Linked DNA regions of Macaca mulatta. The main gene of each other region encodes a partner of the protein of the gene in region 2 in a complex. Links are inferred from orthologs where the notes say so. Each region holds a gene or a part of one and is shown on either strand. Other genes may lie near its edges.

Region 1 (6,571 bases), about 73 Mb from region 2:
ATTCCCTTCTGTACTTATGCTAATATACATCAGGTGCCTGTAACTTGCAACCGAAATAATTTGTATTTTATGATTAAGCCCATGGAGTGTGAGGACTGTGTGAAGGGGAGCCTTCTCCACTGGGGACACTGAAGTCATAGAGTAGCCCCAGGAGGCCTGCTTCCTGCTGTCTCCCCAGCCTACCTGCCCTCATCAGGAAGGAGCTCCCTGACATCTGCCTCCAGGCTTCCCTGATCTTGTTCCCTTCATTCACTCTGCCCATTTAGCTCTGTCCTAGCTTTCAAAGCCCAGTTCAAGTTCTACCTCTCTCTGACTCCTCCTAGTCAATTTCATTTCTCAAAATCCTTATGGCATTCATCACCTGACCATTCATTCTTACACCCATTTGCGTCCCATATTTTATTTGGAAGTTTGGGCTGGGTGGTGTCTAAAGTCCTATCAGCTGTAAATTTCTCAATCTGTTGTCTTCCCATATGTCACATCTCCTTAAGGAAGTCTCCATCTTCTCCCTCAAGAAGAGATGAGGAAGGGTTTGAGCAACAGGGCTCAGCACAGGTTTGCAGAGCATCAACATAACCGCACATGGCAGCAAATGTGGCCCATGATCTCCATTCAAGAACCCAAAGGCTTTTATTTTTATTTTTTCAAAATGGAAGTACCTTTTTTCCTTTTATTATATAAGTAACATACTTATGGTCAAGTCAGTCAAATATTACATAAATTTATAATGTGGAAAGGGAAAATCACCCATAATTCAATTCCTCAGAGATAACTACTATCAAAATATTATTTCAGAGTTCTGCTATACACAAATATGCATGTTTCAGTGGGTACTTCTGGGGACCACATGGAGATCCCTTAAGTTGAAACTGGACAAACAGAACAGTGGATGGTTCTAGCTGAGATTTGGGATAGTTTCTGAATTCAGAAGTATTCACCAGCCACATCGCATGTATTAGCTGGAACCATATATGAAACTACAATACTCAGCTGTTTCTAACCTACACAGTGATTACATATGGCTCCACTTAATGTATATGAAGCCTAGAATGTCAGAACTGATAGAGCCTTAGAGACTTTCAAGTCTATTTCATTATGTTGAAGAGGAAAACGGATGAGAGATAGAAGTGTCCAGCCTAAGATCATATACCACCTTAAGTGGTAGAATCAGGGCTGCTTCTCTTCCTACTGGACCATGCACCTACGTCTCATACTCTGCTTCTTTTAATATAATAATATTTTAGGTGCGATATCAGTCTTGTCTTGTCTTTTTTTTTTTTTTTTTTTTTTTTTTTGAGACAGAGCCTTGCTCTGTCGCCCAGGCTGGAGTGCAGTGGTGCAATCTTGGCTCACTGCAACCTCCGCCTCCCGGGTTCAAACAATTCTCCTGCCTCAGCCTCCCAAGTAGCTGGGAATACAGGCACCCGCCACCAGGCCTGGCTAATTTTTGTATATTTTTAGTAGACGGGGTTTCACCATGTTGGCCAGGCTGGTCTCGAACTCCTGACCTCAGGTGATCTGCCCACCTTGGCAATATCAGTCTTTTAGAAGCAGATTCAATATGACCTCAGAAAACTCACAGATAGTCGTGGTGGCTCACACCTGTAATCCCAGCACTTTGGGAGACCGAGATGGGCAGATCACTTGAGGCCAGGAGTTCGAGACGAGCCTGGGCAACAACATGGTGAAACCCTGCCTCTACTTTAAAAAAAAAAAAATATATATATATATATATATATATATATATATATATATAAATTAGCTGGGTGTGGTGACAGGAATCTGTAATCCCAGCTACTCAGGTGGCTGAGGCAGGATAATTGCTTGAACCTGGGAGGTGGGGGTTGCAGTAAGCCAAGACTGGGTTGCTGCACTGCAGCCTGGGTGACATAGGGAGACTGTCTCAAAAAAAAAGAAAAAGAAAAAGAAAAGGAAAACATTTCTCACAGAACTCAAAACTGAAGAGGCTGCTTTGGAGGTAGTTTAGTCCTGTTGACTAGCAATGTGACTGGGAAGTACCCTGTGACTTGGTTCAAGAAGCATATGAACCATAGAGCTAACAAGGCCTAACATTCAGGGTCCTGACTCACATGAGCTCCTTCTTAAGGTCCTAGTAGGAGCCCTAGCAACATATTAATGTGGCAGTATATTTGCATAATGTTTGCAAAAGTAAGATATTTTAGAATTCTTTTTCTTAAAGAGAGTCCCCAGAATTGTATGACCTTCAGGCCTGGATCCACTCCTGTGTGGCACAGAGTTTTGAAAAGCACTAGGCAAGGAGACCAGAGTTCCTGGGTTCCAATCATGGCACTACTCAGGCCCAAATGGGCGGCACAGCACTTGCCCTGCTTTCTTTATGGGAGTGCGAGTGGGAGTGGTGGCAGGGTGGTGGTGGTAAAGCATATTTGTGATATGGGATAATCATCACTGCTTCTCATGGCTTTTGAAGATAACACATAAAAAATGTGTCCCCAGAGCATCTTCCTGTCTCATCTCCCTCTGCTACAACTTCTCCTTTCTCCAACCTTCAGGCCCCCAGTACTCCAGCCACTGAACCAGTTGTTGGTCATTATCTGTTGCTACTTTTATATGTTTGTTCAAGGACTCCCACTGTTTATAAAGTCTATCTTTTCCTGGGAAAAAATCCTTATGCACAAGGCTTCGGTCTACCAGCCCCTCTTCTCCCACCCCAGTGATGACCTCCCTTAGCCCTGTTTCTTGTTGCTCTTACAGATAGGGACACTGAGACCTGATGCAGTCCACAGCAGAGTTCTGGAGGCCCCAGACGCAATCCCCAGGTGTCTTGGTCTTCCACCATTCCAGCCCTCTCGTGTTAGATCATAGACACACGGTTCTTGATATACACATGATAGGGGTCACTACGCTTGTCCACTTTGCGGGAGCGGGTATATCCCAGGATGAGGCTGCCCACAGTGACAGCAAATAGAAACATGACAAAGAGAATGTACATGTAGGAGTTGTCATCACGGCCAGGTAGGCTGGCCGGTCGCTCTTCAGTCTGGTTGTCTGGCCCCAGCCCTGGCCCTGGCCGGCAGAGCAAATTGCTGTGAAGAGTGGCATTTAAAGCCTTCAGCACGGCATGTAGGCTCTCATACCAAGTCTCAGTTCCATTGGTAGTCTCCATAGCAACAGGGATTGAGGTGGGGGAAGACTCGGTAGAAGCTCTGTTGGCAAGAGAAAAGAGAGAGGGGATGGCTCTGTCACCTGGAGCTCAAATGACCTCCTCCCTTCAGATCCCAGTAAAATCCTAGCATCATGGCTGATATGGTTTGGCTGTGTCCTTACCCAAATCTCATCTGGAATCATAGCTCCCATAATCCCCATGTGTCATGGGAGGGACCCAGTAGGAAGTAACTGAATCATGGGGGTGGGTTTTTACCATGCTGTTCTCATGACAGTAAATAAGTCTCAAGAGATCTGATGGTTTTATAAAGGGCAGTTCCCCTGCACCTGCTCTCTTGCCTGCCACCATGTAAGATGTGCCTTTGCTCCTCCTTTGCCTTCTGCCGTGATTGTGAGGCCTCCCCAGCCATGTGGAACTGTGAGTGCATTAAACCTCTTTTTCTTTATAAACTGCCCAGGCTCAGGTATTCCTTCATGGCAGTATGAAAATGGACTAATACAATAGCTTATTCTGGTTACTTGATTACATGTTTGTCTTTTCCACTAGACCATATACTAAATAATAAAGGCAGGGCCTATATTTGTTTTACTGACTGCTATATGCAATCACTTATGACAGCACTCGATAAGTACTCAATAAATAATTGTAGAATAAAGCCTTCCCCGACCATCAGAACCCATACTAATCTCTCATTTCTTTAGATTCTATAAATCACTGAACTTTAGGTTAGAAGGACCTTAAGGATTATTGAATGTAACTCTTGCCATTTTACACACAGGGAAACTGAGGCCTTGAGAGAATAAGTGGCTTGTCCATGGTCACAGAATATTGGAGGTAGAGCCAAGACAGAAAGCCCTGCTCCTTATGGCTAGCTTAGAGCTGCTTCCACTTCCAAGCTAGCTCTCAGCAGGACTGTGTGGCACCATAAGAAGACATTCATCACAACTCTCCTTCAGCACAGTTCTCTTTATAGATTCCACAGACAGGCTGGGCACAGTGGCTCATGCCTGTAATCCTAGCACTTTGGGAGGCTGAGGCAGGTGGATCACTTGAGGTCAGGAGTTGGAGACCAGCCTTACCAACATGGTAAAACCCCATCTCTACTAAAAATACAAAAATTAGCTGGGCGTGGTGGTGAGCACTTGTAATCCCAGCTACTTGGGAGGCTGAGGCAGGAGAATCGCTTGGACCCAGAAGGTGGAGGTTGCAGTGAGCCGAGATAGAGCTGCTGTATTCCAGCTTGGGCCACAGAGTGTGACTTTGTCTCAAAAGAAAAAAAAAAAAAGACTCCATGGGTACACCTTTTTGGAAGATGCCTGGGGATGGTTTAAATTTCATCCTACCTAGAGGCCAGAAGCTGGATCATTTGACCTCTCAAGCATCCTGTGTCCCAAAGACTAGATATTCCTAGCTATTTGCAGAAATTCTGTTGGAAAGGAGGTGGTCAGGGAAATGGGAACAGGTTGGCAACCACTGTAGGCGCTGGAGAAGAGAAGAACAGCTTGGGCCTGAGGGCGGGAGAGTGAAAGGAGTTCTCAGTCTGGCTTGGGGTTTACCTGCCCACAAAAAGAAGACACAAGCACGCCAACTATCTTGTCTCCTGAAATAAAGTCATTATGTACCTGGCATATACTAAGTGATTATAAATGTTCCTTTTCCTTCTTCTCAGAGATCCTTAGTCTATAATATAGAAATAACCTTTTTTTTTTTTTTTTTTTGAGATGGAGTCTCGCTCGTCGCCCAGGCTGGAGTGCAGTAGCGCGATCTCAGCTCACTGCAAGCTCCGCCTCCTAGGTTCACGCCATTCTCCTGCCTCAGCCTCCCAAGTAGCTGGGACTACAGGTGCCCGCCACCATGCCTGGCTAATTTTTTTGTATTTTTAGTAGAGATGTGGTTTCACCGTGTTAGCCAGGATGGTCTTGATCTCCTGACCTCATGATCCACCCGCCTCAGCCTCTCAAAGTGCTGGGATTACAGCCGTGAGCCACTGTGCCCAGTCAGAAAGAACATCTTAAAACAGACTTGCATCCTTGTCTCTGAAAAACCATATGTCATTCCCTGTAAACAAGGCCCCACACTCACTTCCTTTAGGGAAGCCTCCGTTCAGTGCTCCCCACCCCTCAGCCACACTACACCACCTTTATCATCACAGCCTTCCCTTCCCCCCAACACTTAACATATAAGGCAATATGTGGCTATCCTCTTGTTTTTGATAAGGATATCATCAGGCCACATGTGCCTGGTCAGCAGGGCTATGTCTCTTCCTCCAATCTGGAGGACTACCCTGAGACTGGGTGTTCTCCTTTCCCAGGGCACTACCCTGCGACTGGCTGGGCATTCCCTTTTTCTAGGGGACTGCCCTAAGACTGAATGGGTGTTATCCTTCTCTCAATAGTTTCTAGTAAAGATGTCCACTTTAAGGAATTCTCTATGGGCCAAGCATTCAGTCCTCCATCATATGGGCAGAACTGTTAACAAACTAAAGTTAACTAATGTGACTATTAACCATAAGATCTCTTCCCTGGAAAATATGATCATTCTGACCATGATAAATATTCGTCAATGGCTCTATGAACGCAATTAGCCAGGACTGGGCAGCATTTTATGCAAGGCCTTTGGGGCCCTCTGCCATCTAGTACTTGTGCTGTCCTGTCTGGATGGAGGAGGGGAGAAGAACAAGAGCTCACTGAGTTAAGATCCAGGAGATATACATTCTCATCTACTACCCCATGTGTCAGGCAAAAGATCTGTGGCTGCTTCTTCCCTCGTGTCTGCCAATAGCAAGTAGGAGCAGCATGAGGAAATAAATAACTCAAAAAATCATCCAGATAGTTATCACCAATATGGGCCAGGCCCTGTGATGGGAGCTCGGGGTGGCTCAGATCCAGTGCCTTCGCCCAGATCCAGGGGCTCTGCTCTGATACAATGCAGGGGACAAGCCAGGAGCTACTAAGGCTAAAAGGAATAAGTAATGGATACTGATCAGGGCTTAGAGAGTGTCCACAGTGATGGAGGCATTTGAGTTGGACCTTGAAGGATTTTTAAGAGGCAGAGAAGACAAAGGAAGGCAACATGAGCAAAGGCGCAACAAAGTGTGTACATGTTTAGAAGAATGGAAAGTAGCATAAAGAGGTTGAAGTGTAAGATGTGTAGAAGAATAGCATAGGATGTGGGACAGGAGAGATAGGAGCCAGATCATGGGCAGCCTTGAGTGCCACTCTGTAGAGTTGGAACTTTATTCTGTAGCTAGGGAAGATAAAATGGTCAGATCTGTGCCTGGAAAGGATACTCTGACTGTCATGTGGACTGGAGGGAGCTGGAATTGAGGCAGTGAGCCCAGCTACATGAGTCTTGAAATAGTTTAGTGCAAGATGCTGAGTCACGAGTTGGGGCAGAGAGGATAACAAAGTGGGGAAGTGGGGGTAG
Region 2 (9,940 bases):
GACTAGGGTCACGCGGCATCCCTGTGGTCACCCAGCCGGTACCACAGACACCAGCCGCCTCCCTTCATCAACCACCATAATTTTGCATCCATGAGGTCTGGGGTTTCTCATGGTGCTCCGAGGAGGTGCTGGAAAGAGACAGCCACCCACCAGGAAGGGGTGTGGAGGCCAGGACGTTCTCACCGATGTGCCTGCGGGGACCCCAGGCACAAGCAGAGCATGGTGTAGCAGCACCCAGGGGCTGCAGTGACCCGTGGTGACAGCAATCCCATACTGGCCAGCCCCAAGGCACCTCCTGAGCGTGAAGCCAGACCCTGCCGCCCTCCCCTCTGTAACCAAATCCTTGGGGTCTGGGTCAAAGTGGCCCAGGATGGTGACATTCATTGCCTCATTCTCCCCCCCAGCAGCAGATGTTGGGCTTCTGGAAGCTTCTCTGCGGCATCTCCCCAGGCCAACACCATGCTCTCCTGACACTGGCCACACACCAGCATCTCGCCTTGAGCGTCTGCTCTCCCAGCTCCTCCTAGGCCTAGAATGTTCTCCTGACATCACCGGCCTTGGGACCTGTCTCCTCCCACAGGTGCCTGAGATGAGATTGTCCCAGCCTTGTTGTTCTTGCCCGTGGACAGAGTCTTGAATCACAGTGACATATCGCAGGGGTCAAAAGCCAGTTTGGAATGTCAGGGCTAGGGAGGGCTCGTCCACCTCCCAGACAAGGCAGGTGGAATGCAAGGGACTGGGGGCCCTGCCCAGGGCCGAGCAGGGGCTCAGGACCAGGACGCGTGTGTCTGCACCTTGGCTACAGGGACCGGTGGCATTCCCATCGCTGGAAGGCATGAGCTCCCTGGACCTGCTGCGTCAGTCAACAGCCCTGTTAACAGCACCCCTGGGACTCGAGGACGCTTGCTCATCTGAGCAACTCTGGATCACCCTGGCAAGGGCGTCGAGCGTAGAAGGAGCAGACTTGAAACCAGCCCGGCAGCAGGAGCAGAATTCTCGGCACCCAACGCCTTTAAAAACAGCGGCATCAGCCACCCGAGTGGAATTGCCTGCCAATCCCTGTCACTCTGATACCCGCGGTGGGCACGGTGCTCCTGCCCATCTCAGCTGCCCCCAAAGGCGCTCAGCTCCACACAGCCTGTTTCCAGCTCTGGAGCACACATAGGGTGGGTTCGGAGCTGTTCACCCTTCCTGTCCTCTGCAGGACGTGCCACATGCCAGGACGGCACGTGGCAGAACTCATAGCAGCAGCTGACATGCCAGCTCCCTGGCTCCAACCACCTGACCTCGCACTGGACGGCCCAACTGCACCCCAGGCCCTCACACCCAGCGGAATTTCATCCCATCGGCACCCAGGAGTGTCCCTGCAAAGCCCCTCCCTCAGACCTGGCCCCGCGACACATGGCAGCCAGCACATTATGTGCAAAGGTTCCAGGACCTCGCAACTGCCAAGTCAAAAGGGACCCCCCTGCCTCCAGCACCCCAGGGTTGTAGGCTCAAGCTGCAAGTACCATGCCCACAGGGAGCTGTGGCTTCAGTGCCAGGCACAGACGAATGTTCCCTCCAACTGAGGCACCCTGCACTGAGGGCACCAGCACCAGTAGCCTCTGCCACAGAGGACAAGACGCAGACTCAGAAGGCCCTGGACCCTGGCCAAGGCGGCCCAACCATGGGGCCATGCGCAGACACAAAACCCTGCCACCTGCTCCACACCCACCAGGCACTGCCCGAGCCACCTCCAAGGACCCAAGTCCCTACCATGCTCCTGACCCCCTGTCCCCACACAGGCTGGGGAGGCCCTTTCTCCCAGACTCCAGGCTCTTGTGCCACCTGGACTACCCCCTCCCCAGCTGATGGCCAGGGGTAAGGGATGCGTTCCCCCCAACTAGACTGAAGCCACAGTAGGCACTCAGCATGTTGGCAAGAGTGGATCCAGAAACACTGGGCTGAGTCTGTAATGGAGGTGAGGTGATCCCAGACAGCCAGAGGATGAGACCAAAGACTCAGGCCCCACAGAAGGTGGCACTGGGAAAAGCCCCAAAAGGCATTCCCAGTTTTACTGGGAATCTAGGGCTGAGGAGTGGGTGGAGGGGTCTTAAAGAAGATGGAAAGAGACCTGATGGCCCAAAGAGCTCCGTCCTCCTCTGTGCCCAGCTGCAGCACCTGCTTCAGCCTCTGGCCTCCCTGCCCAGCTACAGAACAACTGTCCAGCAGCTGCCTCGGACTCCAATGCCAGAGCCTGGAGACAGGAGGGCACTGAGGTCCACAAAGTTGGGTGCTACACCCTGAGAGCTGGCCTCTGCATGGCTTTGTCTTTTGGGGAGGCAACCAGATCGGCCCAATCCACCTCCAGGACCTGCCTCTGGCTCCATTGTTGATTAACATGCATCCGTGAGGGTTCTGCCAACACCCCTGGAAAGTTCTTGGGAAACAGGGAAAGGCAAGGCTGTGGGAAGGGGGAACAGCGGCTGCTGAGCCAGGCTTGGGTTTGAGAGCCTACGAGGGCTGTCCCCATGCACTCCAGGTCCCCCCTCAAATCCCTCTCCTTGACCACAACCAGGATCTCCAAGCGTCTCAGCAACCAGAATAGATGCCAGCTGGATGTCCACACCCCCGACGAAGGCTCACAGCAAGGGAGCTAGGACCTCTGGGTGCAGCAGGGCTGTATGGATCCCCATCCCCTCAGCTAAGATGGGAGCTGCCCCCAGTGGGGGCGCAAGCAGCCACAGGTAACTGGGGGTGTTGGGGGTAGGAAGCCTAAGCGGGCAAGGGTCGAGGCCCAGCGCCGTGTCCACCCCGGCCAGCCCAGGGAGGCCAAAGGGAACACAGGAAGAGCTGCTCTCCTGGGGGCGGGGGTTCCCCAAGGAGGGGACAGGATATCCTGACTGGCTTCCCCAGCCACACACAGGAGAGTTTGCCTAGCCCTGTAGGGTCAGCGGAACACCGGCTCCTGCCTCAACCCCCCTGGCTCTTCAAGGCCAGGCTTGTCGTCTTCAGGTCAAAAACCACAATACTTCTCATTTCACAATCCACCTAAGGACAGGGCCCTGTCTCTGCCACCATTGCCAAGACTTCTTACAGCAACACAAGGGCTGGACTGGCACAGGGCTGGACCTGATTTTGTGAGGCTGTAGGTAGCCTCCAGCTACTCTGCCATCCTGGCTCTATGACCAGGTCTCCCCTTGAGAGACTGGTCCTGCCAACCTCCTAGAGCACTGAGGGTGGGAGTGCATCTCCCAGGCCCCCACCAAGTCACATGTCCTGCCCAGCCAGGGTCCACCTCCAGTCCCACCCCGCATGGAGGTACCTGGGAAGGGGCTGTTCATGACAACTTCCCAGGGCCAGGCACACATCTTACAGGGACAGGGCCCAGAGCTGGAAAGGACCAGCCCCGGGTCTGGCCACTTCACAGAAGCATCCCTTTCCTGGCCACCCCCTCACAGAAGCCCTCCTGCCCTGTCCCCAGAAGCCACCGCTGCCTTGCCAGCTCTACGGAGGCTGGGTAAAGGTAGACTCTGCTGAGCAAACTTCCGAGACCTAAACAATCCAAATCAGGAAGAAAACACAAGTGCAAGCAGAGACTTCCTCTGGGGCGCGGCGGGCCCTCTTCCTCCGCACGGGTGGCTGCAGTGAGCCCAGAGGCACATGTCCACAAACCTGAATACAAGTGAGAACTGAGGGGGTCTGCAGGCGCTTTGTCTTGGCCTCTGGCTGAGGGGGTCTTCCCACCCCTGGACATCTCAGAGAGTCTGGGGTCCAGGAGGCAGGTGGCCAACAGCACACAGCACCTGTGAATCTGGCATCTGCTGGACATTTGCACAGTGGCATCAGACTTGGGTGGGTTCCCCTGGGTCACTGCACACAAACATCTCCCAAACCACAAGCCAAGCCCCCGCTGCTGCAGCCATGAGCAGAGCCAGTTCCTCTCACAGACCAGCAGCGGCTGTGGCCCAGGCACCCGCTGACATGTCAGGAGACAGGGGCTTGGGAGCCGGGGGTGGGGAAAAGTCTCCAAGATAACACCCCAACCACATCTTTGAGGATAGAGGTGGTTGAGACTTCCCCTTCCTGATGTGGAAGGCCACCTCTCAGCAAGGAAGGCAGTAGCCCTGCGACCTCTACCCCACCCTCTCACCTGAGACCATGCTTGAAGCTGGCTGGGGCCTGGCTCCTGCTGGTGGCAGCTGCCAGCAGGCATGGACAGGCCCCTGGATGCCCTCCAGCCAGTTCTCTACTGAGCCTGCCCAAGGCAGAGGAGATGCTTCCACCTGAGGATGCTCAGGGAGACCACCCTTCAGCCCTCAGGTGAGCCCCACGGCCATCAGCCATGGGATGGCTGGGTAGAGGCTCCCAGGCCAGAGGCTGGCACCACACCAAAAGGCCGCTGGCTGGGCAGCCAGGAAGTAGGGCCACTGGGGCGGCGGGGGAGGGCCCCAGGCAGGCACCGAGGAGAGCAGCCTGGACCTTTCCGGAGGTGACTTCCCGGGCCCATCCCCGAGAAATCCAGTGCCCAGCCCTGCTCAGGCACGCTGTACCGGGAATTGGAACCACCTGGTAACAGGGAGGGCCAGGAGCCTCTGCTACCAGCGCTACCGTCTGCGGGAGCACAGCTGCCTCTGAGTGAGAGCTGCAGACGTGCCTCTCCACTCTGCATCAAGCCAGGTTTTCATGAGCTTGGTTCGGTTAATATGAGGCCGGTGGGGACGCCCCATGGCACGCTGAGCCCTCAGGGAGCACTGCCACCGTCACCTTCCTCTCCTGGACAGCCCCCTGCCCCAGAGTACAACTGGGCCTCAGAGAGGTCTGAGATGTGGCACCAGCTGGACATCAGGCGCCTTCTCTCTTGGGGGCTCCTGAGCCTCGAGTCTCAGCCGACCTTGAGGAGTTCTCTTACTGAACCCAAAGGTGCGCTCCCCAGCAGGCTTCTCTTCCCAGAAAGAATCACACCTGGACCGACCCTCCCCGGAGGTGTGGAGCCAAATTCTGGGCTCCAGGTGGTCCCCTCCCCAGCCGGCTCCCTCCCCATGCCGGGCCTGCGAGCAGCTGCGCACCCCCAGACACAGCAGCGCCCCTGAACTTCAAGGGGGAGTGCAGTTTGTGTTTCTGCGTTTCCCCACTTCTTCCCTCCTCTGCTCCAGGGTCGCAGCCCCTACGGGGCAGGTGGCGCTGGGACAGAGCTCCCCCACACAAGCTCTCAGGAAGCACCTTCGTGCCGGCCGTCGCCGGTGGCGATACTCACACGGCGAAGTGGTAGACGAAGCATTTCCAGCCGGTGGGACGCTCGAGGAAGTTGTAGACGCGGCCCTGGACGTGGGTGCGCGCCAACAGCGGGCGGCGCGTGCTGTAGATGGAGACGCGCGGATCTAGGTTCACCCGCGGCCGCGGGCCAAGGTCGGAGGCAACTGGGGGCGCTGCGGGCGCGGCCGGGGACGCAGGGGGCGCGGGACCTGGGGCGCCGGGCGCGATGGGCGCGTAGAGCGCGCCGCCCGCCGGGCCGCCCTCCGCCAGCTCCAGCGAGAAGGGGCACTTCTTGGCCAGGCCCGCGCTGCCCCGCCGAGCGCCTGGCAGGCGGCCCCAACCCCAGCGCTTCCTCTCGGCCCTGGGCGGGGAGGAGGCCGCGGCCATAACAAGGAGAGCCCGCGGCGGGCCGGCCCGGGAGGCGGCACCCGGAGCTGCAGCGAAGGCGAGCGCCCAGGCACAGTGCGGGCAGCCACTGCTGCCAGCCCCGCCGCGGGGGGCCGCTGCCGGCGCAGCCCGGGCGCTCGGGGCGGGGCCGGAGGGGGCAGTGGCCGAGGACCGGTCTCATGGAGCGGCGGGCCCCGCCCCCGCCTGCACGCCCCGCCCCCGCCAGCCCGGCGCGCTCATTTCGTCCCTACCCGCGCCCACCGGCTTGGCCCGCCCTCTCCCTCAAGGACCGGCTTGGCCCTGCCTCCGCCTCAACCCTGACTTGGCCTGTCCCCGCCCCCGCCCACGCCCCGCCCACGCCCCCGCCCCCGCCCCCGCCCACCTGCTTAGTTAGCCCCGCTCCTGTCTGCAACTACCCCGCTTGGCCCCGCCCCTTCCTCGCCCACCTGTTTTACCCCGCCCCTATGTGCATTTACCCCCCCGCTTGGTTCCGACTCTCCCCGCCCACCTGCTTAGCCCCGCCCCTTCTGCATCTCCTCTGCTTGCACCTGCCCTGCCCTCACCCACCTGCTTGGCCCCCACTTCTGATGCCCGCCTGCTCTGTCTGGCCCGGAGGAGGACCCCAGCTGAGCCAGGGAGGAAGGGGTAAGGCCAGGCCGATACCACCACCAAGAACTGCACAGCCAGGGCAGGAGGGGCGGGGTAGGGTGCCGGCATCTATTGTCCCTCCCTCTGAGCCGCTCCGGAGTTGGGGGTGGTGGGAGGAAAGGGATGTACTGGGTGAGGGTGTGCTGGCCCCGCGATCACTGTGAGCGCCCCCGGGTGCCCAGGCGCGCGAGCTGTGGGCGGGGAATACTCTCGGGTCGCTTCCCACCAGGGCCCTTGGACCAGGAGGGTGAGATGGAACCACGAACTGTGATGTACCCCCCAGTGGGAGCTGTGCGGGTGCTGCTGGGGAGCGGGGCGGCACAGCGTGGGTCTGCACCTGGCTCGACTGCTGGGCATAACGGGCGGGGCTGCCTGGGCAGGTCAAGGGAGAGGCGCTTGCGCCACCCTAGGGTCTTGGAGAATGGGCGCCTTGTCCTCTCTACCCTCCGGACCGCGCTGCCGCTGCGCCCTGTGGATTCCCCTGGGTGGGGGTGGGTTGGTCACATCGGAAGATTTTCACAGGACTCTGCACTGCCTCCCGCCCGCTGCTGGCATTTGGGTCTCAGCACATCTCAGGCTTGGGGTGGTGGTGGGGGGCAGCCAACAGAAAAGACCAGCTTTTTTCAGGATGTTGCACACAGACTCGAGGCAAGAACTGAAGGTGAAGCTCAGCGGTGACTCTCAGCCCGGCCAGGTGACCCATAACTCATGCGACACTTCCAGGTCATCGCTGAGCACCCTGGGCCAATTTGACGTATCCACCACCCCACTGCCAAAAGTCTGCTCTTTTATCATGGAGAGAGTCCAGCCCAGGCCCTTGACACCTGGGTGCACAGTCTGTATTTGCAGCAAGAGTGGATGGAGTGGGGTCCCAGCTTCCCAGCTTGTGCTGGGCACTATGATAACGCAGGGGATGCAGAGGAGAGGATACCTTCCTGGGAAGCATATTGTACAAAAGGGCAGCGGGCCAGAAGATGGGGGCAGTCAGTCAGCTCTGCAGGGCACACAGCACGCATTCAGCAAGTACTGCCTGCATGGAGTCTCTGTCTTCCCCTCCCACCTCAGCGGGAGGAAGTTGAGCTTTGAATAAGCAGTGTTTGGACAACTGGACAGTCATAAAGAAAGAAAGAAAAAGGATAGCTTGGGTCCATCTCATCACACACAAGAATAAATCTCAAATGAATCAGAAGCTTAAGTGTAAAAGGTGAGATGAAGCCATGCAAATTGTACAAGAATGTACAGGTCAATTCCTCAAGAACCTGTGAACTGGGAAAACATTTCCAACTATGACTTGAAATCCAAAAGCAATAGATAAAATAAGAAAAATCAAAATAAAAACACCATTAGCAAAGTAAAGGAGACAAATGGCCAAATGGGAAAAGTATTTGCAGTTTCTATCACAAAGGATTAATATCACTAATACATAAAGAACATCCAAAACTGAGGTGAGGAACCTGCCAGACAGTCCTATGGAAAAGGGAGCAGAAGACATGAGCAGTTCATAGGAAATGGGGTTCATGACCTTTGCACTTAGGAAAAAATGTTCAACCTCATTTATAACAAGAAAAATGCAAATTAAAAGTACACTCTGATACCACTGGTTGCTTATCAGATTGGCAAAAATCCAGACCTTTGATGGCAACTCTGTGGGAGAGGCAGCAGGTGCACTCCTCGTCACTGGTAGAAAGGGACCTTGTGATATTACTAAATGTATCATTTGATACAGAAACCCCACTTCTAGGAAATAACCCAAAGATATGTAGGAAAAATAGAAAAGTACATATATATAATGATAGTCAACACAGCATTTTTTATGTTAGCAAAAGTCTAGAGACAATCACACTGTCCTTCAATTGGTTCAGCTGTGCCATGGTACAGCCACACGATGGAGTGCCATGATCAATATGATTACTAATACTCAAAGAACCAAAAGATCCCAAAGAACTGTTTGTGTGTGTGTATGTATGTATATATATGTTTATATATTTATATTTATATATGTGTGTGTATGTATATATATATCAAAGAAACAATGATGCTAAATTCCTTTGAAACCAAGATTTTCAGTATAAAAAAGATGTAGATTTAAAAAATCAAAGAGGTACAAACCAATCCTTAAATTTGAATGGACTATATTAGCATAGACTCCTCAGCTATTTTATCTTAGGAAAAAGGTATATTCTACTACTGTTCATTATCAAGTTGGAGAATGGGCTGATCAACAATGGGACAATTTGAGCATCAAAAAGAGTCATGGATTAAAACACATCAAATAGCTGAAAAGCCCATGCATTCATAATAATACTGAAAAATCCTATTTGGTCCTCTGCAGGTTGCTTGACTATTCTGAAGACAAGTGAAAAGGCAGAGTGGTCAAGCAGGTCAAGCCTCCATATTTTAAAAATTCTACGCCTGGCACAGTGGCTCACACCTGTAATCCCAGCACTTTGGGAGGCCAAGGCAGGCTGACTGCTTGAGGTCAGGAGTTTGAGACCAGCCTGGTCAACATGGTGAAATTCCATCTCTACTGAAAATACAAAATTAGCCAGGTGTGGTGGCACATGCCTATAATCCCAGCTGCTCAGGAGGCTGAGGCAGGAGAATCACTTGGACCCAGGAAGTGGAGGCTGCAGTGAGCCGAGATCGCACCACTGCACTCCAGCCTGGGTGACAAGAGCGAAACTCCATCTAAAAAAAAAAAAAAATCTAATAACTCACTGGGCAGGCTTCTTGGAGGACCCCAGGGCTGTCTCCTGGGCCCTGAGCTGTGCCACAGCCTGCTGCTCTGGGATTATGGGGTCCCATTGGCTTGGGGACACTGAGGCAGGAGAGAGGCTGGACAAGGGATTGTCTTCATGCTCCCTGCAAACTCCAAGGAACTGAAGGGGGATGGGTGGGGAACTGAGAGGAGGGAGTAAGGCCAGGTGCACAGGTGAGGTAAGGTGGGGCTGGGCTGGGCTGGGTATGGGCTCAGGTGAGGGAGTAAGGGCTGAGGGTGGGGGAGTAAGGGTAGGTGGCCTGGTAGAACAGGAAATACAAGTGGGGCCTGACTGAGCCCAGTGGCCACTCTGTGTGAGCAAGGAGGTGAGGAGGGCCCCTATCAGCTGAGGGAGCAGGACCCCTGGGGTCCCTCCACTGAGGAAAGCCCCTCCTCTATCATTCTGGTGGGTGCACATGTCCAGCCCTGGCTGTCCTGGATGCAAAGGCTGACAGACCTATCCAGCCAGCTTGAACAGGGAGGCAACCCTCCCCCAACCTCTCAGGCCCTCAGGCTGTCCCAGAGCCTCAGAACCTTCTGGAACACAGCTCTCAACCTACCTCACACCAACCTTCCAGGGCTGTTTGCCGACATCCCTCAGTTCACTAGGCTCACCTCATGTTCCTTCGACAGGGTCAGAGGCCCGCAGTGGGAGGAGCCTCAGAGGTCACCAAGAATGCATGAGGAATGGGGAAACTGAGGCTGACCAAAGGAAGGGTGTGTGGCTGCTATGAGATCAGCATCTGTGGGCCAGGGATGGGCTGCTAGAACAGCCAGCCCACCAAAGGCTTCCTGGCCAACATCCTCCTTCAGGTCATCTTCCTACCTATTCGTTATTCCTTCATTCATTCATTTGTTCCCCCAGATCCTCGTAGAGCACCAGCTGAGTGCCAGGCACTGTTCTAGGCG

The links.
Region 1: the proteins of KCNQ1 (region 2) and KCNE3 are in contact, whole or in part, in a cryo-EM structure (PDB 6V01), measured with the Homo sapiens proteins. The link is inferred for Macaca mulatta from reciprocal best matches to the Homo sapiens genes KCNQ1 and KCNE3. Residues at the interface, in NP_000209.2 of Homo sapiens: Arg116, Pro117, Thr118, Gly119, Trp120, Cys122, Phe123, His126, Phe127, Phe130, Leu134, Leu137, Ile138, Val141, Leu142, Ile145, Gln147, Tyr148, Arg181, Met238, Val241, Asp242, Gln244, Thr247, Lys362, Asn365, Ile368; in NP_005463.1 of Homo sapiens: Asp54, Asp55, Asn56, Ser57, Tyr58, Ile61, Met65, Phe68, Ala69, Val72, Gly73, Leu75, Ile76, Leu77, Tyr79, Thr80, Arg81, Ser82, Arg83, Val85, Lys87, Asp90.

Annotation. Positions count from the first base shown.
Region 1 is NC_133419.1:74,855,252-74,861,822, forward strand, and holds the end of KCNE3 (potassium voltage-gated channel subfamily E member 3), read right to left. Parts: intron 3,186-6,571; coding exon 2,834-3,185; 3' UTR 1,799-2,833; intron 1,735-1,798; exon of another isoform or gene 1,670-1,734; intron 1,504-1,669; exon of another isoform or gene 1,398-1,503; 3' UTR 608-1,397; downstream 1-607. UniProt on the Homo sapiens protein: Ancillary protein that functions as a regulatory subunit of the voltage-gated potassium (Kv) channel complex composed of pore-forming and potassium-conducting alpha subunits and of regulatory beta subunits.
Region 2 is NC_133419.1:2,350,312-2,360,251, reverse strand, and holds the start of KCNQ1 (potassium voltage-gated channel subfamily KQT member 1), read right to left. Parts: upstream 5,916-9,940; 5' UTR 5,626-5,915; coding exon 5,240-5,625; intron 1-5,239. UniProt on the Homo sapiens protein: Pore-forming subunit of the voltage-gated potassium (Kv) channel involved in the regulation of cardiomyocyte excitability and important in normal development and functions of myocardium, inner ear, stomach and colon.